Yarrowia lipolytica: one gene and its partner. The protein of the gene in region 1 purifies or fractionates together with the protein of each later gene. This does not show direct contact. Links are inferred from orthologs where the notes say so. Each region holds a gene or a part of one and is shown in the gene's direction. Other genes may lie near its edges. The genes, in order: YALI1_F19478g and YALI1_F39128g.

Region 1 (13,176 bases):
CAGTGTACTTGCACCTACTGTATCGATAGTGAAAAAGCGATTCAGCAATCATGGACATTTCACCCTGACTGGCACGACTAACTACGCCCTTGCACACTGTACACCTACATACTGAAAGTATTCACATACAATACGAACCTGTATATACTATACCCAAGCCATGAGATACAGGCTGACATGAGAGATTACCGAAAAGGTATGGATAATTAATTTTTAATTACAAACCACAAGACAGAAAAAACATCCTAAGCCAATGGCCATTTATTCGCGACGTTCATATGTTACAGAAAAAGACACGTGTGAAAACAGCAATGAATTTAAAACTAATCTAGCTACTCATCATCATCTTCATCATCGTCGTCATCCTCGCCATCCGAATCCTTACCCTGATCATCTTGAGGTTTCTTTCGTCTCTGAAAGTCTGCCGTATGCGCTTTCTGCACCATGTTTGAGATTGCCTCCATAACTGGAGTGGCAGTTGCTCTGAGAGAAGGGGTATTACCCTCTTCAACATGCGAACCTCGCTTCCGTAGAGGTGAATCCGTGACACGAGACTTCCGAGGAGAGTCACGCGACACCCCAGGCGATTCCCGTGCCCATTCGACACCAGTGGATGACCCCATTCGGTCACGTGCTTCATCTTCATCCTCATCATCTGCCTGGTGTCCCTCTTCCACTGCAGTCTCGTCCGTCTCACCAGGCTCAGCACAGACGTGCACATGGTATGGCAGAGGTACATCACGAGATGCTCGGAAACGCTTGACGTTACTCACATGCTCGTTCTCCATTCTGAAAAACATCCACATGACTCGTCGGAATATCTCTGACAGAGCAACGAAGAAAGAGAGTAGTTGCTTCTGTTGGATCTGCTGCTCAAAAATGGCGTACCAAATCCAGTTGAATCGGAGCACCAGATCTACCACCATAGCAGTATAATATGGCCACTTGACCTTGTAGGTCAGCTGGTTTCGGAGCAAGAAGTTCTTACTCCCAAACTCCAGCAAGCTCCAATCCATCATGATATCCCAAATGAAACAGTAAGTAGAGTTAACAGTAGCAAAGAAGATAAAAAATGCTCGATTTCCGTTGGTTGTGTCAATTCGCCAAACACTCTGGGCCACATAATACATGATCGTAAGAGAGTACTTCGTCATGTTTGCCAAATGTGGGAAAGCATCTCCTGTGTCTGCGAAACGTCTCAGACATTGTAGCCAACGGAAGATACCCGGGAGAGCATTAAAAAAACCCATCAAACGGTTGTGAGACGAGCCGCAATGGCTAGGATTATATATCCCATGGAACCCTTCTGACCATTCGTGGCTATAGAGACAGAAGAACAGAGCAATGTTAGACATGGAGTAGGTCATAGAGCAGATGATATCTCCCAAGAAAAAATCTCTGAATTCAACGGGGTAGAGTCCAGAGAGAAGGATTCGAGATAGCGCTCTGATGAGCCACTGTCTAGCGCTCCAATAAAAGATGTTTAGAGGCATGAAAAACGTCACAACCGCAAAAACTAGAAAGATGCACGGGTAATAGACGGCCCTGAATGAAGACTCCCAGAACGAGTAAAACGTCAGCCACGCGAATATACTCATGAAGAAGAAATAGAAGGCTGGCATCTCAAAGAATTGCCGATAATCTAAGTGGTCCTGTGAGAACTCGAAAATGAAGGTGTAGTTGATTTTGTACTTGTTCCATACCAAGCAACAAAGGGGGAACAGAAGGAGGAACAAAAGGATAAGGAAAAACCCTGCCCAAATCTGCAGCAGGTATTGGGTGTCCGGAGACTTGTGCTCCACCAAGTTCAGACAGCCTCGATAAAGGCCTTCAATGAAGAATGGGATTGCTAAGCCAAAGAAGATACCACCACGGAAAGTCGCAAAATAGTATGTTTTGTTGACGCCAGTAGACCGTAGCTTTGAAATAGCGTGTTTCCGGTTTCCGCGCTCAAAGTTGTTGGTGTATAGGTCCTCCACCTTAGCGGCCACAATGTCAAGCCGCGAGTTTTCCACATTGCAGAAGTCCGTGTGGTCCACGAGATCCATGTAATAAGCACTCATGTGCCGCCCAGAAATCTTATCGTATTTCTTCAGAATCTTGCGGAAGGCAGTCCGGTTGAGTGTGCAATACGAACGCAAAAGCTCGATACTTCGGTAATACTCCTGCATTGCTGTCTTCAGCTGACGTCGGGCTGACGCGTATGAGATTCCCTCATGGTCAGTAGTGGCATCGTGGAAGTGCGGGTTTTGTCCACGCAGTGCACTCTCGCTGCTCGCACGAGTGTTTTCGGCATCGAGGTCGCACACATCGTTCGAGTCACTCTTTTTCAACCAAGCAAAGCTTGGGAGACTTGGAAGCTCAATTTGACGTTCCACCACACTCAGACCCTCACGTGCAGGCTTATTTGGACGCTGTCGAAGATGCAGCTTCTGTCGCTGCAGCCTCACAAGCTGTCCCACCAGAATTCTGTATCGCTCGTGGGTCTCGTTCATTTTCTGATCGTAGAATTCATTCACTTTATCCAGCTGGGAGTCCAACCAGGCAATGAAGTCCTTTTCACTGTCGTACGGTGCGATCACTGAGAACGAATTGTCCATGACGGAATAATTAGTGTTGACCTCCGGCGTGATTTTGGGTGTTCCAATGTGAAACTTGGCCTTAACAGAGTCTGCTCTACCAGACGAGGACTTTCCGCGGGTGATGATACCTCGATGAGGTGCCATTTCAGGTGTAGTACCGCCCTCGAGTGCAGCCGGGGGAAGCTTCACTGAATCTCCACCCGATGTCGATATCTTGGATAGCAGAATAGGTGTCGGGTGACCCGACTGACCTCTAGAAAGGCGTTCCCTGGACATGTATGATGGACTCAGATTTGGATCATGGGAAGCCACCCCACCACTCTGAGGATCGTGCCTCTCGTGATCCTCCACACTGCCCTCGCGGGACTCAGTAGCCCCGTAGTTGTCGTTTTCCGAACCAGAATTGAAAGGTTCTGTCTCTGAGGGCTCTCCAAGTAATGCGCCTGGCGTTATTCCTGTATTAGGAGAAGTAGCGGCAGGCCGCCGCTGGCGCAACAGTTTTTGGGGATATGCTCGCTTCTCCGGCAGTCTGATCCACAAGTACAGCCTGCTGCTGGGCTGCAATGTTCTGAGGTTCGCTGGGTGCATCGATCTCATCATTGAAGGTATTGTGACGCTTGAGTCTGTCCTTTAAGTCGTCAGGAATCTTCTTGAGTAGTTTCTTTCCCCATTTATAGTCGACATATTGCGATTTCCACTCGGGGACCTGATACTCCGCCAAAAGCTCGGTGAATTTCATAGTAGTCCGTGGGGTTTGGCAGACGAAGTCAATGCGTAACTGTCAAAAGCCTTTGGCCCGTTTCAAGTGTTTGTCTTCCGTTTATCGTCGGTGATGTGATAAAGGCTGAGAATTCATATGGACTAATCGACCATATGTGAGATAGATAGAAGTTTATTTACAATAACCTATCGACTTGGAGTGGGCTCGAGTCACAAAAGGGATACCCTGAGTTAGGTTTACAGTAATTAGTATCGTACTCGTATGTATAGGACTACTCCGCACGAGTACAAGAATCAGATTATATTTACCAGAGGAGATTCAACGGGGCAAGAGAAAATATAATTGGAGGGAGCCCTTGAGGAGAGGTAATATAAATAGTGCTACCCGGTACCAATCAGAAAGCGTGTGATGCTCATTCACTCATAACTACAAGTAGGTGCTCTTTGTACAGAAAGTCTAAAATTCTAGGTGTGATGAATGGGTTGGTTCACGTATGAAGCAGCCCCGGTTTTGCGTGCGAATACTTTTCACCTGTGCCTAAGCATGTAAAGTACATGCAGCTTATGATTTGTTTACCTGACTCTGAATCACACAACAAACGAAGGAGTAATCAGTTCTCACAGATTCTGGTAAAGCTCTCATGAAATCGTACATATGCATTACTTGTACAAGTAAAACTACAGTACACAGCAGTACAGTACAGTACATACAGTATGTACTTGTAGTCCTCTTTGAGCCTTGTCCATGGATACTCGTATGGTTTGGTACTTGTACGATACCAGAGCAGGCTGAAGGTGTACATAAAGCTGCAAGATATCCATACTTCCCCCAAACAACGGCTAGGAAGCAATAGCACCAACGTGGTCGTATATATAGGGCTACACCATTCATGCCTTTCAGCCCGCGAATAGTTCACTGTTTTTCCAAACCTTAAACATCGTGGAAATTGCGGTTACACGATTGGCTGTGATCGCACCTGTAGCCCACATTATAACATTTGTTTGTGCGATGAGAGGGAATACACTTGAGCGTTAGGACCACTTAACTGGTACTACTCTGCCGGCCACAATTATATTAAAAATCCAGGAAGAAGGTGACACAGAAACCTCCTCACCGCAACAAATAATAGTTACATTAATTATCAAACTGTGTTTTTGGGACATGAACGGATGAGAAAAACTACTTGTACAATATACTACAAGTACTGTACTGGGTTGGGGTGTCAACCGCAAACCCATTGCAACTGTGACGATTATATTGAAGCCTGAGGGTGACACACAGTGAATACTTGCACAGTACTTTTTAATACGGTTGCGAATGTACTGTATGTATCGTACAGTAGGAGCAATAATGAAAAGACTACAGAGTACACATACATACATACTCTAGAGTGTGATCATTACAACGGTTGGTAAATTGTGAAGTTATATGCTGTACCTAAAAGTAAATTACTTGTACAAGTAGCTAAAATACAGTACACGTAGATTTACATATGATACTTGATATCAACATTATAAGATGCCTCCTTCGCGTTCCGCGAAACTGAGTGTGTCGTTCCTTCGTGCAAAAGGGTGAGCCTCGGATACGAGTCCAAAACATCAAATGTCACATGACCTATTCAACGTAATATGCAGTACAAATTTTAAGCTTTGCGAGGTTGGGACATGTAACCAAAGCTTTTTTTTATCTGTTCTGCATTTTTGCCTTGACAACACTTGATTCAGGGGATTTTTTGGTACACGAAACCGACCAGACAACAAAAAAAAAAGTGAGTATCTCGAAGCAGATGGGCAAAAGAAACGGATGAACGGCATTCAGTTTCACACGGGTAGACTTCCATGTGAATAACTTGACCTCAACTGTTTCGCCTCTTTCTCAGGCCACGTTGCCCTGCGAGCCTTTACTAACTAAGTGTCTGTACCGGACGAGGTCATCTCGTCTCTGAAACAACTTCTCGTCAACCTCGGATCTCCGTCATCTGAGGTGCGAGTACCCGCAGAAAAAACTCTACGTGATGAGTGGTGTCGACCTCAGCAGGTAGGCATGCTGCTGGTCGGTCTGGCCCAGCTGGCTGCTACTGATTCCGACAAGACTGTACGTTCTTTTGCCGCTATTCTGTTCCGTCGAATGGCTCTTAAATCGCCTGAGGACGTCAAGAACGTGGTCACCCGAACTGTCGACACTGTCCAACCCGAGGTGCGAAGCATGTGCAGAAACATTCTATTGGGAGGCTTTACGCAAGAGACCGACAACTCCACTCGACACAAGCTGTGTGACGCGATGGCGGAGCTCGTGGAGGACGAAAATACCCAGGGCTCGTGGCCTCAGCTGGTCCAGACTCTGTTTGAGGGAACTCAGGCTCCCTCTGGAGGTATTAGAGAATCTTGCTTCCGTCTGATCGCGACCGTGCCGACTGTTCTGAACGAGAACCAGGACATCAATGGTATCATCACGGTTTTCCAGCGAGGATTCGCTGACAGCGACCAGTCTGTCCAGGTCACCGCTGTTGGAGCTTTCACAAAATTCTTCGACCTCTTGCCCCAGCAAAAATGGGAGCAGCTCAACCCCCTTCTACACTCGTTACTCAATGTGTTGCCTCCTCTGGCTGTACCTGATCAGGGGTTGGAACTTACACAAACTCTTGAGCACTTGATGGAACTGGCGGGCCTTGCCCCTAAGATGTTCCTGCCCGTGTTTCCCGATCTTATTTCTTTCTGTGTTTCCATCATCGAGAACGCCGAGATGGATCTCAGTGCCCGACTGTCAGCTTTGGAGCTGTTGACAACTTTTGTTGATAAGGCTCCCCAGATGTGCAAGAACCAGAGCAACTACACTCCTCAGCTCGTTACATGCTGTCTCAAGCTCATGACCGAAATTGGTGAGGACGACGATGATGCGGCAGAATGGAACAACGCTACCGACATCAACGGTGATGCTGAGGAGGAGGAAGCAGATGTGCGAGCACGACAATCTCTTGATCGACTCGCTCTTAAGCTCCACGGAAATGTCATTCTCCCTCCCCTGTTTGAGTACGTTCCTCCAATGACTTCCGGTACCTGGAAGGAGAAGCACGCAGCCCTGATGGCTCTATCCTCTGTTGCAGAGGGTTGTGTTGATGTCATGATCAAGGAGCTTTCGCAGGTCTTGGACATGGTGTTGGGCCTACTGAACGATCCCCATCCCCGAGTTCAGTGGGCTGTCTGTAACACACTGGGCCAGATTTCTACAGACTTTGCACCCACCATCCAGAACGAGTACCATGCGCGAGTAGTTCCTGGGTTGATCAGCATTCTTCGGGGCAAGTTACCTCCTCGAGTCCAGACTCACGCCGCTGCAGCAATGGTTAACTTCGCCGAGAATGCCACAAAAGAGGTGTTGGAGCCTTACCTCGATGATCTGCTGAGCTCTCTCGTCACATTGCTCAACAGGCCCCAACGGTACCTCCAGGACCAGGTGCTGACCACTATTTCGACTATCGCTGAGTCTTCGTCTGAGAAGTTCTCAAAATACTACGATGAGCTCATGCCGCTGCTCCTCACTGTTCTGCGAACGCCTGCTACTGACGAAACACGAAATGTAAAGGCTAAGTCTATCGAGTGTTCTTCCCTCATTGCTGTGGCAGTTGGAAAGACCCAGTTCATCCCCTCCTCTATGGATCTCCTGAAATGCTACGTGGACATCCAGGGCGAGCTCGATGAGACTAACAACGAAGACGACCCTTGCCAGTCCCACTTGGTTCTAGCATGGAGCCGTATCTGCAAATTGCTTGGTCGTGACTTCATGCCCTTTTTGGATGTCGTAATGCCTCCTCTCCTGAGAGCTGCTTCCGCTAAACCTGATATCAATCTCATCGAGGACGAAGGAGAGGTCGATGCTGTGGCTCAGCAAGAAGGTTGGGATGTTATTACTCTCAAGGGAAAGCATCTCAGTATTCACACTGCTCCCCTAGACGACAAGGCACAGGCCATTGAGCTCATGGCTGGATACGCCCAAACTCTCAAGGACTCGTTTGCTCCTTATGTACACCAGATCCTGAACGAGATTCTGGCTCCTGGCATTGTCTTTTTCGTTCATGACGGTGTGCGTTACGCCTCTGCTTCTGCCATCGGCCCATGCCTGGAGGTGGCAAAGCAGGTCGCACCTGTAACCACTAACCACCAGAACATGCTCGCGGAGCTCTTCAGCCCTCTCTTCTCTAAGCTCATCGAGGCCATGCAGGTGGAGCCCATGGTTGATGTTCTCGGCAACTTCTACACTGCAATCTACCAAGCCGTGTCCATTCTAGGACCCAACTCTATGACACCTGGTCAGATGACCTCCCTCTGCAAAATCATCTGCAAGAATCTAGCTGATTATATCGAGCGTGTCAACGAGCGCAATGCCGATGACAATGACTACACCGAAGAGGACGATGACGGAGAGGAGGAGGAGCACGACGAGTATCTCATTGCTGAAATCAACAAGTGTCTGCATGAGGTTTTCAGACTGATGAAGGACCAGTTCAAGCCTTACTACGAGGCCGAGCTGGAACCTCTTGTCCAGCAGTTTCTTACTGGTGACGCTGACCAAATTCAGTTCTCTATTTGTGTGCTGTCAGATGTAGCCGAGTTCTGTCCCGAATCAGGCCCTTCTGTTCTGCAGACTATCGCACCCTTCATTCAGTCGGGCGACTCGAATGTTCGACAGGCTGCGTTGTACTGCGTCGGCTGTGCTGCGAAGTCCACCAGGGACTCCTTGCAGATGTTGGAGCCTCTGTTTGCTATTGCAAACAGTCCTGACGCCCGCGTGGATGAGAACATCTACCCTACGGAGCATGCCTGCTGCGCCATTGCCAAGATTCTCAAGCATCATGGATCTGAGCTCGGTGGACAGTCCAATGCGGCTTTGGACGCTTGGGTCAAGACACTACCCATTCTTTGTGACGAAGAAGTTGCCCCCTTTGCATACCGGTTCCTCGTGGAATTAATGCGGGCGAACCACAAGGCAATCAATGACAATGCTGTGCATGTGCTTGATTCTGTTGCCCAGACAGTTTTCAACTCTGTGGTACAGGGCGAGACTGCACGAGTCTTGGTCGACGCTACTAAGACTTGGCTGCAATCTCTGGGAGAGGACCAGGTTCAGCAAATGGTTCAGCAGATTGAGTCTGAACAGATTCAGTATGTTGTCAAAAGTTGGTTTGCATAGTTAATAGATATTGTATGATGATATACATGTAGCTAATTGTCCCGGAATTGTATCAGATATCGTACATAAGAGGTACCGGTTACATACGGTATTGTACTTCACTTGTAGTTGAACTCGCACATGCTGTACCTACGTCACGAATATGGGAACAACACTATGTATAGTAAAGTACATACTTGTGCGAGTTTCAGAGAACCGTATGTCATGGAATGTGATACATAGCTACAGTACATGTACAGTACCCATATCCTACACACTCGCGACGGTGCTACCAGATACGTACCTTTTGCTCCATTTGATCTATGTGGGGATAATTCTTCAGCCGTTCATTCCGGATATGCGGCTTCAGACTTTGGTCGCATGCTATCGGGCGTGCCACTGCGGGTGCTGTGACAAACAGCGTGGTTTCTTTTGTCGTCAGGTGGCTCATCTGTTATTCTGGATGTGCGATCGTCTACGATAACATTATACTATTGCCGAACACAGCTGAGGCCGGATAGTGGTTAAATATTTACATCACATAGTGGAGGACAGGCTTTTCAAACACATACAGGACGATAGCAAGCTACTCTTTTGCGCCTGCCCTACTCATACAAGCACTCTACATCGGTTATCGGTGTGCTTGCTCTCAGCAGTGCCGTGTTGATTCTTATGCCACGAAAAAGACCGGAAAGTTTCGGAATGGGTCGGCTCCTGAAAATGGATCTAACAGGAGTCTGTGTGGAGAAAAACAAGACGATGGGGAAAGCTTGTGAAAGACAATGACAACCCCACTTTTATCTCATCTGCATTGGACACTAACAGTCGAGGCTTAATAATAACACGGAGCGGTTGTACTTGGGACGATGGAGTTCACGGTCAATCGTATGGATAAGTCCTACTTGTAAGAATCAAATACATCTTATAACTCAAAAAAAATCTACTCAAAAATTTGCTGCTTCTTTGCTATTTCTAGCTTCTTAGTTTTTATCGGCTTGGTAATATTTGTTGCTTTGCTGATAACCTGTCTACAAATTCTTGTATATGTACGATACGAATATCAAAACTTTGAACTTGGTAATCACATGGTGAAGATAGCAAAAGCAAGCTTTGAATGATGGTGCGATCACGTTGTGCTTATTTCAGATAAAAGAGACAGTGTGATACGATTACTTCTGGTCTAAGTGGTAGTCCGAACCATCACCATTACTGTATAATGCCAGTAGCCGGGAAAAAAACTGATTGTACAATGCTCAATACCCTGCAGGAAGCTATACGTACATAGCCGTTGTGTACAAGACAAGCGGAGCAGATTATTCAAAACAAGCTTCTGATAATATAATCTTGTTTGAGAAGCATCAAGTTGAGACCACGACAGACTGCGATAACTTTTGGTTATTCTAAATTAGTGGCTGTCATGTGAAAAACCGAGGATGTTATCCCCAGACAGTACATCACTGGACCTTTTTGCCGGTCGAACTCATCACACTGGTGTCTTACTTCCACTCCCACATTCTGGAATATCACGTCACATCGCACATGCACCCCAGAAACCAAGGTGCATGTTGATGGCATCGTGCTCATACTAAGACCAATCGAAGAAGCAACATGGACAGATAAAGGTCTATCTATTGGTCAGACTTTGAGGGAGTGTCAACCGGTATCCAAGGGGCTTTCTCTGGTAAGAATTACTTTCATTCTGCTGCAAATAGCCGTTCTCCATATAATAAGAAAGCCCTCACTTTGTTAGTCCCCCTTCCAAACCTTCCGCACATGCATGCACCCGGATATCCGAACATCCGGGTGGTATATAAAACCAAGATGATCTCCCTCACTTGCTCTAAAAAAACAACACTGACATCTTCACTACTGGGAAGAGTCAAATTTTCTTGTCACACCACACAATCGCGAGTACACAACCGCAAGCACCCAAACACACAAACACACGCCACGTCGCTATGCCCATTACATTCTTGCCTCTCACCTCCCCTGTTGGAAAGCCTTACGTCCCTAAGCGTGATCACGTCCACCAGTCCAATGACGTTGCTTCCGAAGGGGCTTTTACTGCTGTGATTGATCCCAAATCAACACGATCTGACTCTGAAGCCTCCGATTTGAACGCGCCTACTCAGTTCCGGGCAAGAACCGAATCCAGCTGAACAGTGCTAAACATCTTGACTGATACTATAGATTATTTATTACCGATTTCACTTGTGTTGCACTACAGTACAGTCACATGGTAATACCAGTAATAGTAGACGTACTGGTTTTCAACTCACCTATATACACTACTTCTAAAAACGACCAATGCCCAGGGATGAGGCTGTACACGTTACATACTCTCCGCCATTGAAGCTACAAATGACCCAGTAACCTCGCTTGATACCCCCGGATAGTGCCATGTACTCGGCTTCAACACTTGAGAGAGCAATCAACTTCTGTTTTCTTGATCTCCAACATGTGGCGAGGAAGTTCACAGCATGACATGTCAACTATTACAGTAGCCTGGACTAGGTAACACAATTCTCCAATTCGCCATCAATAGATAGATGGAGGCAACGGTTGTTGGTTGGATTCTTACTTGATCCTTAGGGTCAGTGTTCAAAGTAATTACCCGGTAGGGTAGTATGTACTGTACATACCTGACTAATTCATCACATAATGATGAGAGGAACCAGCCTTGTTGTAGACGAGATGTCCATCCTGTAGATTTTATCCACTGATCTAGAATCCCTTTCTGGTGAATGAAGTAGCACACACCTTCTGGTGTGTGCTACTATTGGAACGTGGTATCCCTAGAAGTGGGTTGTAAGTCGTTACATTAACTATATCTAATCAATAATACTTATGATCTTCAATACAAAGGGCCCATGTATTATGTTATAAAAATAAAAAAGTGCCTTATTGAGTAACAGGTATGTTGAGTTCCGCTTGTATCAGTTTGATAGGGATCACCTTTTCAGTCCTGGAATGTGTTCAGTGTTGGAAGTCGCTATTATGTGACCTCAAGTCTCAAGTTTATATTAGCACGAACATTGATTGATTATGGGCACAACAGGGGGGGGAAAAAAAAAAGGGCAACAGTAGCGGTAGTCAGAGTGTCATTTAAATTATCTAAAAAAAACCAATTCAAAGAAAGACAAAAGTTGAAACGGATCATTGGAATAAAAACAAAACTAAAAAAAGTCATCTTTAAAAGAAGTTGATTTATTTAACGCCAATGATTGGACTTAGTAGGTATGATCATTATAATGGGAAAAAAAAACATATTATAGTTGAGACGCAGACAATCAACTTGCGCAGATATTTGAGACAACAATAACGGAGCACCTGAACGTGCAGAATCCGATCATCTGCACTGTCGACTACTTGCATTCATTAGTGTTCCAAGTTACTACTTGGAACACCCCCTTCTTACAATTTGTCCATGGAACACTTTTACCTCTAGTTATATTATTACCTTCACTTATCCTATCTACTGGGCCAAGTCGTAATACAGCAACATTATTATCAGGCAACTACCTTCGTCAACTAACTACATAAGGCAACGGCATTCCTCATACCTAGCGATTACAAAATTACGCGCGTGTAGACGATCTACATATTACTGAAAACAGTTACATACTACTAATCAGTCTAAGTGTACCCTCAATTCTTACTTTTTACTCTCACATTTATTGTATACACATAATATATATATATATAACATATATACATATAAATTAAAAAACCATCAATTCACTTACAGAAAAATTTTCCTAAATTGGTAATTTTTCTGAAGTGGTGTCACTACTTATTACCCTACTAAATTAAGAATGCATAAAATAAGAAATAAAAGATTTTATGTTTGGGTCAACAGCTATCTTCCCACTCGGCGACCATAATAATAAAAAAATCACAGAAGTCCACTGAGGACAATCAACATATTACAGGTAAGATTTTATAATAGTTACCAAATTAATATATAAAATGCGTAGATAATAGTACATATATTAGATATTTTATTTATCAATTGGACAACAACTTTTAATTATTTCTTGAATTGAAAACAGAATTTTTAATTTTATTATGTTGGATTTTTTAATTTCGTTTGAAACGTTTTTCTGGGTTTCTTTTTACAATATAAATAATGTTAATACCCTGTTGTTATTTTATATCATTAATTTACTTATTAAGGTCTTCGTATGAACTATTTTCCTAATTTGGAAACAAAAACTATAAGTTGAAGCTGTTATGAAACATTTATGTATTATATCTTATCCAAATTTCAATATTAGCATAATACACTTTTTGACATTATCGATTATAAAATATAAATTAATTGCGAACTTCTAGAAGATCAAATGGAGATGAAATTATCCCGAGATATATATACATATATTCATAATTTAACTATATTATTAAATTGTTCCGGTCAATAATCATATTGCTGGAGTATTTACTTTTGCTTTTATCGTGGTTATCCTCAAATTCACCTTTTATGTGTCAATTATATTACCAATTTGATTTTTCCACGCCTCTGTTATTTACGATTGTTCCGGTCTTTATATTATTGATGAAGGGTTCACTTTCGTATTATCGTTATATGTATCATGAAATCCCCTAGTTTAAAATAACAGATCGGTTTATTTTTAATTTTGTCTCTCTGAGTTCTGTTTTTGTTCTGTCATTTCTTTTTTTTTTTTTTTTTTTTTTTTTTATCCTGAC
Region 2 (10,934 bases), about 2.0 Mb from region 1:
ACTACGATGAGGACGACTCTGAGGGGTCCGATGAGGAGGAGCAGGACGTGCTTACAGGCACTTCTCTGAGCGAGGTGCTTCAGCGAGTCACCCAGTACTCCAACAAGGAGTCCAAACTGCTTCGACACGGCGAAATAGAGGTTGCTCGACTTCAGGACGTTAACTTTGCTGCTCCTTCTCGAGCTGCCGTGGAGGGTCTCGCTTTCCACCCCACACATTCTCTGCTTCTGACTGGAGGTTTCGACAAGACTCTGCGACTATACCAGGTGGATGGCAAGAACAACCCTGTTGTCACCACGCTCTTCATGAGACATACTCCCTTTGCTCACGTGGCCTTCCACCCCGACGGCCAGAGAGTGTATGCTGGTGGCCGAAAGCAGAAGCATCTGTACATCTGGAATGCTGAGAGTGGAAAGGTGGAGCGAATGGCACATCTGTACGGCCATGGTGACAAGGTGCGATGTTTTGCGCAGTTCAAGCTCTCACCAGACGGAAAGTACCTTTGTGTAGTTGGAGTGGACGGCTGGCTGGCCATTCTGTCGGCTACCTCTGGACAGTGGATCGACGGCTGTAAGATTGAGGGCGACGTTGCCGACTTTGTGTGGGACGGTGGCTCCATTATTGCTGTCAACACCGCTGGACAGGTGTGGGAATACAACGTGGAAAGCCGTTCTTTCACAGCTACTTGGACCGACGAGGGAGGAGTTGGCATCACGGTGCTGGCTATCGGCGGCAAGGCTAACCAGTGGCTGGCTATCGGCTCCGAGTCCGGCTACGTCAACGTCTACAACCGACCCAAACTTGCATTGGAGATTGCTAAGGGCCAAAGCCCCTTTGTGCCCCAGAAACCCACTGCGGTTCTCTCTAACCTAACCACCCCCGTTTCGTCGCTAGTCTTCTCTCCCGACGGACAGATGCTTGCCATGGCCTCCGACCAGAAGCGAGACTCTCTCAAGCTGGTCCATGTTCCTTCGTTCACCGTGTTCAAGAACTGGCCCACTCAACATACTTCTGTGGGAGTTGTCACCAGCGTGGCCTTCTCCCCCAGCTGCGAGTACCTGACTGTAGGTGCCACCAACGGCAGAGTCCGAATGTTCCAGCTCGCCCACTACAAGCTTTAATAGTATAGATGCATATTAGAAGATGTTTATAAGAGAATCTGAGTAGAAGGGTAAGTGTATATACTGGGTCTAGTTGGGGAGCGACTGAGTACTTTTTACCTACATTTCGAAGTAATTTAGTAAACATTAGTTGCACAGTCCGTTTAAAAACTCTATCTAACTTAAGCTCATCTATCGAAATATTTTTGCCCGACATGTACCTTAAAATTATTCTGCCAAAAAGTATACCTACGCATTTCATACTCATACACCACTTACAAAAATGACTACCCCCGACCTGGAGGATAAGTCCTTCGACTCGTTCGGCCTTGATGACAGACTGTTGTCCGGCCTGGCTGCCTGCGACATGAAGCAGCCCACTCTCATTCAGAACACAACCATTCCTCTGGCTCTGGACAAGGGCGTGGATATCACAGCCAAGGCCGTCACTGGTAGTGGCAAGACGGTGGCCTACTTGCTGCCCATCTTCGAGCTGATGCTGAGAGCTGAGAAAGAGAAACGGGATATCCAGACTGCTCTGATTGTGGTTCCCACGCGAGAGTTGTGTGAGCAGGTGTCCAAGGTGATCACCAAGCTGACCCAATTTTGCCCCCATCTCAAGTCTCTCAACGTGACTCAGCAGCTCGGAGACGACGTTATTTCTTCTCTGTTGGAAGAGAAGCCCAGCATCATTGTCGGAACACCCTCGAGGCTGCTAAAATACGCCAAGGAGATGGACTGCTCCAAGGTCGGTTATCTGGTCATCGACGAGGCAGATCTGCTGCTATCCTACGGCTACAAGGAGGATCTTATCGAGCTGTCGGAGATGCTCCCCAAGACTAAGCATACCTTCATCATGTCTGCAACACTCAACAAGGAGTCCGATCTGATGAAGCAGCAGTTCTGCAGAAGCACTGTGGCTAGTGTTGCAGTCACCGCTGCTGAGGAGGAGAGAAAACTGCTGCAGTACTACGTCAAGTGCAGCGAGAGAGATAAGTTTCTGCTGGCCTACGTCATGTTTAAGCTGCAGCTGGTCAAGGGCAAGACCATTGTCTTTGTCAACGAGATTGATCGATGCTACCGATTGCGTCTGTTCCTGGAGCAGTTTGGAATCAAGGCCTGTGTTCTCAACTCCGAGCTGCCCATCGCCTCTCGTCTTCATATTGTGGAGCAGTTCAACAAGGGTGTTTTCAACTTGCTGATCTGTACCGACGAGGCCAACAAGCTGGCTGAGGCTAGTAAATCTGCATCCAAGCAGACCAAGGAGGTGTCCAGAGCCCATGAGTACTCTTCAACTCGAGGTCTTGATTTCATGAACGTGGCTTTTGTGCTCAACTTTGATCTGCCTCTTTCTAGCCGAGCATATGTCCACCGAGTGGGCCGAACTGCTAGAGCCAACAAGGCCGGTACCGCACTGTCTTTTGTTGTGCCTGCCGACCAATGGGGCAAGGATAAGGTGGCCAAGCTGGATACTGCTAAGCGAGATGAGAAGGTGCTCAAGAAGATCATCAAGAACCAGGAGTCACAGAACATGGAAATCAAGCCCTATTCGTTCGACATGAAGCAGGTGGAGGGCTTCCGATACCGAATGGACGACGCTTTCCGAGCCGTCACAACCGTGGGTGTTCGAGAGGCCCGAGTCAAGGAGATCAAGACCGAGTTGCTCAACTCCGAGCGCCTGGCTCGACATTTCGACGAAAACCCCGACGATCTGAAGGCTCTTCGACACGACAAGGAGCTCCACACATCCAAGGTCCAAGCACACATGAAGCGGGTGCCCGACTACTTGTTGGGACGAAAGGGTAAGCTGGATCCTAATGTGTTTGTGCCATTCAGAAAGGATGATAACAAAATCCACAAGAAGTATACCAAGAAGAAGAAGGGCGGCGATCCCCTCAAGTTCAAGAAGCGAAAATAGATGATATAGAATGGAAATGACAGATTACATGGTATTGAAATAGCGGGTGTCTGCTACAAGTAAGCGGTGTGTTTTCAAGACTACAGTACACATACTGTACATAGATATATGCTGGTGTTGGTTCTGTAAGTGAGTTGTGTTATAGTCACTTGTACCAGTAGTAAAAACTTGTGGTACAGTATGTATGTATATACAGTATATTCTAAGCTATTCTATATTTGTATTGGTACGCTACTGTACATGGGTAGGTCCGGTCCAATTCTTCGTATCCTCAATTAATATCCGTTATTAAATTATGTTGTGCTTTATTCCTACTTGGAAACACTTCTAACCCAGTATTCACTGGCACCCTCCTCTCTCATCTTAATATACTGACGAGACAACAGCAGGCCGACTTGGTACAGTTCTCGTTCCACGGCCTGCTTCTTGGTTTCCAGGTCAGCCAGATTCTGGGTCAGATTCGTCGACCTGCCTCCAGTGTTGGCAGAGAAGTTTTTGTATGTCGTGGTCGGCCCCATCTTCTTGATGAGATCAATCTCCACTGTGATTGCACGTGACAACTCAAACAGCTTGTCCGACTGCTGTTGCAGCTGGGCCACTCGGTCTGCCCGTGATGCGTGCGACTCCCTTGAGCTAATCGATGCACTGTCCGAGGCGGCTCGTGGCTTCTCAGCTGCAATGCCTCCATGTCCTTCCTTCTTGCTCTTGACCGTCTGTCTTACCAAAGCGTCAAACTGTCGCTCGATCTCCACCTCCTTCATCTTGATACGAGCATATACTCCGGAGGGCCCCGAGTTGTTGTTGGGTTTCACCTTTGCCCGTGGGTCGTGCGTCTGTGGTCGAGGAGCCACCGTGGGCTGTTGTGGCCGGTGACCGAGACCATGTCCTATGCCTGCATTCTTGTGGAAAATGCCCCGGGTGCCTGTACTAGGTGGAGCCAGTCTAGCTACTGTGGCAACGCACACCTCGGCTGAGGTGTCTGGCGAGTCTAGAGACACATCTCCGTCTTCCTCGGCGTCCTCGAAGCGGTCCAGGTCTGAGTCTCGAAGTGTAGATGTGGAGGAGGAGTTCTGTAAACTCTTGTTATGCTGTGTAGTTGGTGCAGCCCGTTGTTGGGCATGTGTTGTTGTCGTGGTCTGATGATGTGTGTTGAAAGGGACAGGGCTTCCAGAAGGCTGTCTGGGCTGGTTCAGCTTCTTCTCTGGAGTCGACGTGCCCCCGGCGGCATGCAAAACGTCTTCGGGGATGCAATAGCTCTCGCTGGCGACGGTGTTGAGCGTGGAGGACGAGTAGTTTGGCACCGCTCTCATGAAAGCTCTTCGGCGCTGTTCCGACATGACAAAGGACTCATCACGGGTCATTTCGTAGTGCGACGTGTCGTCGGCGCCAATAACGAGGGCGGCTCCCACGGTTTGGGCCATTGGTCGTGATGGCATCTTGGTTGGGGTTTACGTCTCGTCTCTTCAATCTGCTTGTGATGATTGACACTCTCACTGTTTTGGATTCAGAGCGCGAAACGCGCCTTTAGGTTTCAAATGCGATGAACAGAGTTGGTTCCCCTACCTTGAATCGCTGGGTGTTAAAACCAAGTCGTATAAACCACCCTGGCAGGTGTTGAGAGAAGAATAGGTGAGACTCGTATGTAGTATGGGAGAGAGAGCTCAAGAGGCATTATATCATATAGCAGGTCTGGCACTTGACCTGCAGCATCGCATCCTGCAGGAATCCATCACCTGGGTCTTAGATTATTATTCTCCTTCCCATGCAATGTTGTGGTTGTATTTTGAAATGTTATTCTGAGACTTCTGTCATACCCTTTTGAGAAGTCGGGGTTGGGGTAGCCCAGAACTTGCCCAGAACCTGAATAGCCATTTGGGTCACGCGCCAAGTGCAGCAGTCATGCACTAACGTTTAGTTCCTAAAATTTCAAGTGCGTTTTTCAGGCGCAAAAAATAAACTGACCAAGCTCTATAATGCAGCGACTATTGAAAAAGGCACTGAAAAACAGCGCAGCGGGCGAGGCTGGAGCACCACTGGAGCGCACCGACACCCGCTCCTCGCACGAAACGCTCTTTGACGACAACAAGTCCGCGGTCTCCACGCTGTTTGAAACCCCTGAAGGCGACCCGCGAGAACGGGATGTCTACAGCATATACTCGGCCATGTTTCGACATGGAGTGACCGTTTTTGACGATGGCCTCAAAAAACCCATTCTGTCTGTGTCCACGCATTTCTTCGGCAAGACCTACATGGAGATTTACCGGCTGGACGATAAGCAGAGCCCAGGTAGCGAGGCTGTGTCAATGTCTGGAACCGAGTGCTACAAGTCGCTTCTGTGCAGTGTGACACAAAAGGTACTTGACAACGACCGTATCGAGTACATTCTCACCTTTGTGGACAGCGAGCGGGACAACATCACCATGGTTACCCATGGAACCAGGCGGGTGACTACAGCTTCTTACGAAGGCGTGCAGTTGCAATGGTACGGAACGACGGGCATTGCCAACACTTATGGCTCTGGATTCTTTCATCTGCGGCTTGTTGACACCGAACATACTGAGAGACAGGGTAATGTGCTGCCAGACTCAGACACCCTCTGTGGTCCTTGCATAGGAGCCTACAGTTATCTGACTGAGGGCAGACTGAAGAAGCAGCGCCGGGTTGGCGAGTTTAGCATTTTCAATGGTGGCACTCATCTTTCCGAGGTCATCCTACTCATGGGACTGGTTCTGCGAGAGGGAGAGATGCGAAAGATAACGGAAAGTACACGAGCTGCCAATGCTGTCACCAGCAAGGTGTTTTTGTAAACTGAGTGATGAAAACGGCATGGTTGAAACAATAGTTTGGTAGCTACCGTGATGAGCTCCGTCTCTTGCGACAACCAGGATAGCAGCTTGGGCGGGAAAAAGAAGAAGAATGTGGATTGTGGTGGCTTTGAGTGCCTTCCGCCGATAATGTGAAACGAATTTTTATTATTAATGAGTAAGACAGACAGACTAATATATCTGAATACTATGGTTGGTTGCCTAGGGTTGTGTGGATGGTCGTTCCCGTTCAGCTCATGGCCGAATCAGGTATACTCGCTTACATAATCATTTTGGGTTGCATACAGGCATCTCGGTGAAGCATGATTTTCGACTTTACACTCGACCGTCACAATGAACTCCTTTGCCCCGGAATGCACTAAAGCCAAGAAGGAGTACGACAACTGCTTCAACAACTGGTACTCGGAGAAGTTCCTCAAGGGAGAGTCCATGGAGAACGAGTGTGCCGATCTGTGGCACGAGTACGAGGATTGCGTCAAGGTGAGTAGGGAGAGGGAGAGGGCAGCCTGGAGATGAATTAGGATCGATTCAGGAGATCGGTACCCGGCGTACCACTCACAGTATTTACTAACCCAGGCCGCTCTTGCCAAGAAGGGTGTTGGAAAGATGATTGACGAGGCTCGAAAGCAGGCTCCGTTTGAGAACGGCGGCAAGCTCGTGGAGGAGGATGAAAAGAAGAAGTAAATGTATATATTAATTGAACGATTCTGCTGGCCAAGATGTGAAAAAACGAGTTTCTCACTTGTATCAAGTCTGTGTTAGTCAGGCTTTTCTCTGTAAGTGTGCAAGGGTGTCTGTGAGTTACGGGTGAATTTTTTTAAAATCTAGTAAAAGGATGAAGTTCGACAGATTTTATAGGGAAATCTAAACACTTTCTAACGATTTATAAAAAGTCCTCTCGCCGCAAGAAGTCATCGGCCACCTTCCAGTACCCCAAACACACCTGTGTAAGTCACTGCAAGAAAACCTCGCCACGTGACAAACAAGGTTTTGCAAAATCGTCGGTTGGAATATCAGACTCTATCACCACACATACACGACCATACAAAAATGCTGTCTCTGATTCAGTCGCTACGGCCGACTGTGGCCATGAACAACGTGGCGCAGATGTTTGTGCGAAACACTTGCAAGTCCGCCCATGTCAAGACCAAAAAGGCCGTTGCCAACCGAATCAAGATCTGTGGTAGTGGAAAGATCACCAGAGTGAGTGCCACAAGGATGGAGAGGAGGGGAAATAAGGAAAAAGGAATGCTGGGAGCGACTCCGATCAAGCCATGATAGAGTGGATAGCTGATATTTCAGTGCCGGAAAAGTTTTGCCTCTGATCTGATCATGGCCTTATGTTACACAGCTTTCAAGCTGAGATGATTAACTGTTTCAGCAGCTAGAAGAGATACCAGACACGGAACTACCTGTCACAACCAGGCTGATTACGCACACTGCGTTTTTTTTGTTTTTTTTGTTGCTTACCAGGCACTCAGATCAAGCAAGACACTCATAACCTCTTGTAGCTGAACACATCAACAATGACAACTTCCAGATCGCCACTAACTCAGGGAAAAACCGGACGAAAGCACGGAAACACTGGATGGTCCGCTGCTCTGCTGCGAAAGAAGACCGGTATGACCGAGCTCACCGGTTTCCAGAAGAAGCATGTCAAGAAGTACGTGCCTTTCAAACAATCCCCTTAATGTATATAGCAATTAGAACCCTCTTGGATGCACGAGAAGTCTGTACAGTACAGACGGATACAAGTTCGTAGTGCACGTACCGAGCTGTTTAAATTAATTGATGTATTTTTCTGTATAAGATGTAATCATTGCATACTCTGCAAATAATAAATAGGGCGCGCGGGGTTTAGATCACGGTTTTGATGGGACAGCTAGGCCGTGGGTAGGTACAGCACTTGTACTCAGGCCGTGGTGGAGACGCGGTACTGCGAAAGTACCAGCGATATGAATGTCGTAAGTATCATACTACAATTGTAGCAGAGGGGGGTTACTGGCCAAGCAACAACCAACCAATAAAATAGACACCATAACCCATCATTTCAACAGCATCCACAGGGTTAAGGCTGGACAGACCAGAGTCCCACTCAATGGCAGACTCACGAGGAGCATACTCTTGTCGATCTGAAGAGGGCTCGTTGGCCAAAAGACCGACATTTTTTTCAGGCACAAAAGGCTTGAGCTCCTCGCCAGTCAACCAATAATGGAGTCGATCTCCAAATGCTGAGGCGTTGGACTCGCGGTTGCACTGTTCAATCACGCTTGTCACTAATTGTTGTTTGTCGGCGTCACAGATATCGAGCATTTGTGTTTCTTGAGAGTGTTTTCTGATTACAGCGGACCCAGGGGCGCTTTTTTGATTATATATAGCCTTACAGCCTTTCAGAGACTTTCGTCGCCATGCAACAAAGACAGGACCAGTAAGGTTGTTGAGTGCACGTGACCTCGGGTCCACGAACGTCATGGGGCAAAACAAGACTATTGCAACATAATTATAAGGGGTAGATGCAGCTTGCGAGTTCCCCTCCTGCTTGCTACGTGCCAGTGCAACCTCTGGCGTGTTATTCTTCCACATTTGCTCTTTGTGGCGACCAGTAGCGTGTAATAAACATTCTGGGGTAACTGTAAGCGCTGATATGGAAATGTACGATACGATAGGGTATGTAGGGTCCATGTAGGGTCTTACAGATAGCTTCAACAAGTACTCGTACCAGGCGCGATACTGCAATAACAGTGGATATTTCTCAACAAATCTACTGTAGGTGACACACACACTCACGTCTGCGTCTCCACATGACAAGCATCACTGTTAATCTATGTTCCACTTGATTATGGCTTTTGCCACCAGGTCTTGTTGGGTCATGTCTTGTGTACTTTTAGCTCTCCATATAATAAATATATTGGGGTAATCCTCAAGGTGGAGAATGTGGGGTGCCTGAATACATGGAGTGAAAAGTCGTGTGACCAGTTGTCGTTGGCAAGATGATAAGATCGGTGATGAGTCCGAGCACTTAATTGCGCGGTAGTGTATTGTTCTACAAGTAGCACAACATGTCATACTACGATTACTACAGCCTCACTCCACACTACATAACGTACAGTACTGTACTTGTACCCGTGCCATAGACTACAAACAATAACACCTCTGTAACTAAACATGCAATCTATACATTTTTGGGTCTCTATTTACTCTTGCTTTTCAGCCTCGTTCACCTGCTCCTCGACATTTTCATCGCTCTCCTTGACTCGCTTACCGTCCTTATAACTGTATCCAACCCACTCATTGCCCTCCTTTTTGATCTCCGCCGTGGGGAAGTAGTGGTAGTTCATCTTCATGGAACACGCAAACGCCACGTTGTCAAACGTGACAATACGCAACTTGACGTAGGTATTGTCAGGGATCTTGGTCACCACAGACAGGAACGTCTCCAGATCAGGAGTGGCGGTGCCGTTCACGTGAGTGATGAAGTTGGTGGGCGCAATCAAGTACTGGTAAGCGGGAGATCCCTGGGCTCGACTGGACACGTAGACGCCCGAGTGGATCTTTTTGATTTGCTGACGAACAGCATGGTGGGGGGTCTGCAGAACAGCTCCGCACCAGAAGACGGCCTGAGAGGTCTCGAAAGCCGAATCCGTGGTGGGAGCCTGGATCTCCTCCTCCTTTTTGTTTCGCACCAGCTTGATGGTCACCTGCTCCTTGTCGCCGGCCTCGCTGAGCGTTGTCAGGGTCGTCAGCAGCTTGCCGTTGATGGACAGCAGAATGTCTCCCTCTTTGAGCGCCTGGGAGTTGCCATTGATGGGTGTAGCGGTTCGAATGACCTCAAACAGCTGGTGTCGCTGCGAGTTGTCCTGCTCAACGGCAGCAATCCACTCGGGAGACACGCCTCGGATTCGAGCCTGGATCATGGACACAGAGGCGATCTCAACGTCCAGGAACCGCTCCTGGGGAGGCTTTCCGGCTCGGATTCGCTGCACGGTCTCCAGGAAGGTGCTGGTGTCGATTCCGAGTCGGTACTCGTGCTGACGGCCCTCGGTTCGCTCGCCCATGCAGGACAGCCAGAAGGCTCGCACAACACCAGTCTTGGGATCAGCAAGAACACCGGCAGTGCAGCCATTGGGAATGGTGGAGTCCACGGTGATGGCGTCCAGGTTGAGAGCTCGGTAGTAGGGCTCTCCGGCATTGGGAGGGATGGTGATGGCGGTCACATCGGACACCTTGGTTCGGGTGGTCACCAATCGAAGAGACAGGTTATGGCCCATGAACAGCACAGGGTCTCCCTGCTTCAGGGGAGTGGAAGAGAGCTTGGCGGTCTCAATATCGGCATGCACCAGCTTGGGGTCGTACTGCAGAATGGCATAGTTCTGCAGAGGGTGCATGAAGACGACGGTTCCAGGGACAACCACGGACTCGGCGAAGGTCACGGACACGTTACAAAGATCGTAGGGGATGATAGATCGAGACACGAGCACCAGACCCTTCTCGGCATCGACCACGAGACCATGTGACTGTCGCATGGTTCGGGGGAAGCCGTCAATCTTGTAGGGGATCATACAAGAGACCCGAACGAAAGATCGGGACAAAGGTGCACACGCAGCATCAGCCTCCTCCAGATTGGGATCTGTGAAGGTGGCTCGCTGGGGCACAATTTCGTCCTTCTTGGGTACAGGGTACTGTTTACTGAGATCGGTGAAGTCCCACTTGCCGGTGGTGTCGTTTCGCACCGCCAGACGGAAGCTAGAGTGCCACTTCCGGTCAATGTAGGTGATGGTGAAGTTGGTGGTGTGTAGGTCTCTCAGATGTCTGTATCGGATCGAAACTCGTCGGCCGTCGGGAATAGCGGCAATTACTTTGATAAAGGTATCAAGATCGGGAGTGTCGATATCATCGATAGAATCGACCACCCAGCCCTTGGACTCATTACCCTGTCCGTCAAGTCGGAATGAGCCTCCAACCTCAGACACGTAGACGCCGCGCACAGGAATTGCGTAGATTCGAGCCAGCTGGTATGACAGGTCCTGGAAGCTGGCACCGCAAACCTCAACGTATCGATCGGGGGTGATGGAGTGCAAGTCCTGAACATAA

Evidence for each region.
Region 2: the proteins of YALI1_F19478g (region 1) and YALI1_F39128g purify together in Saccharomyces cerevisiae (affinity purification with mass spectrometry, with the first as the bait; 3 studies listed by BioGRID). This does not show direct contact. The link is inferred for Yarrowia lipolytica from reciprocal best matches to the Saccharomyces cerevisiae genes PSE1 and DBP9.

The regions. Positions count from the first base shown.
Region 1 is NC_090775.1:1,940,012-1,953,187, reverse strand, and holds YALI1_F19478g (uncharacterized protein), read left to right. Parts: upstream 1-5,346; coding exon 5,347-8,490; downstream 8,491-13,176. Other genes in the region: YALI1_F19500g (uncharacterized protein), read right to left, coding at 333-3,182. UniProt on the Saccharomyces cerevisiae protein: Functions in nuclear protein import as nuclear transport receptor. Serves as receptor for classical and arginine/glycine-rich nuclear localization signals (cNLS and rg-NLS) in cargo substrates.
Region 2 is NC_090775.1:3,911,458-3,922,391, forward strand, and holds YALI1_F39128g (uncharacterized protein), read left to right. Parts: upstream 1-1,383; coding exon 1,384-3,018; downstream 3,019-10,934. Other genes in the region: YALI1_F39108g (uncharacterized protein), read left to right, coding at 1-1,121; YALI1_F39159g (uncharacterized protein), read right to left, coding at 3,330-4,454; YALI1_F39164g (uncharacterized protein), read left to right, coding at 4,992-5,825; YALI1_F39176g (uncharacterized protein), read left to right, coding at 6,177-6,323, 6,420-6,527; YALI1_F39183g (uncharacterized protein), read left to right, coding at 6,894-7,046, 7,400-7,534; YALI1_F39199g (uncharacterized protein), read right to left, coding at 7,842-8,525; YALI1_F39236g (uncharacterized protein), read right to left, coding at 9,038-10,934.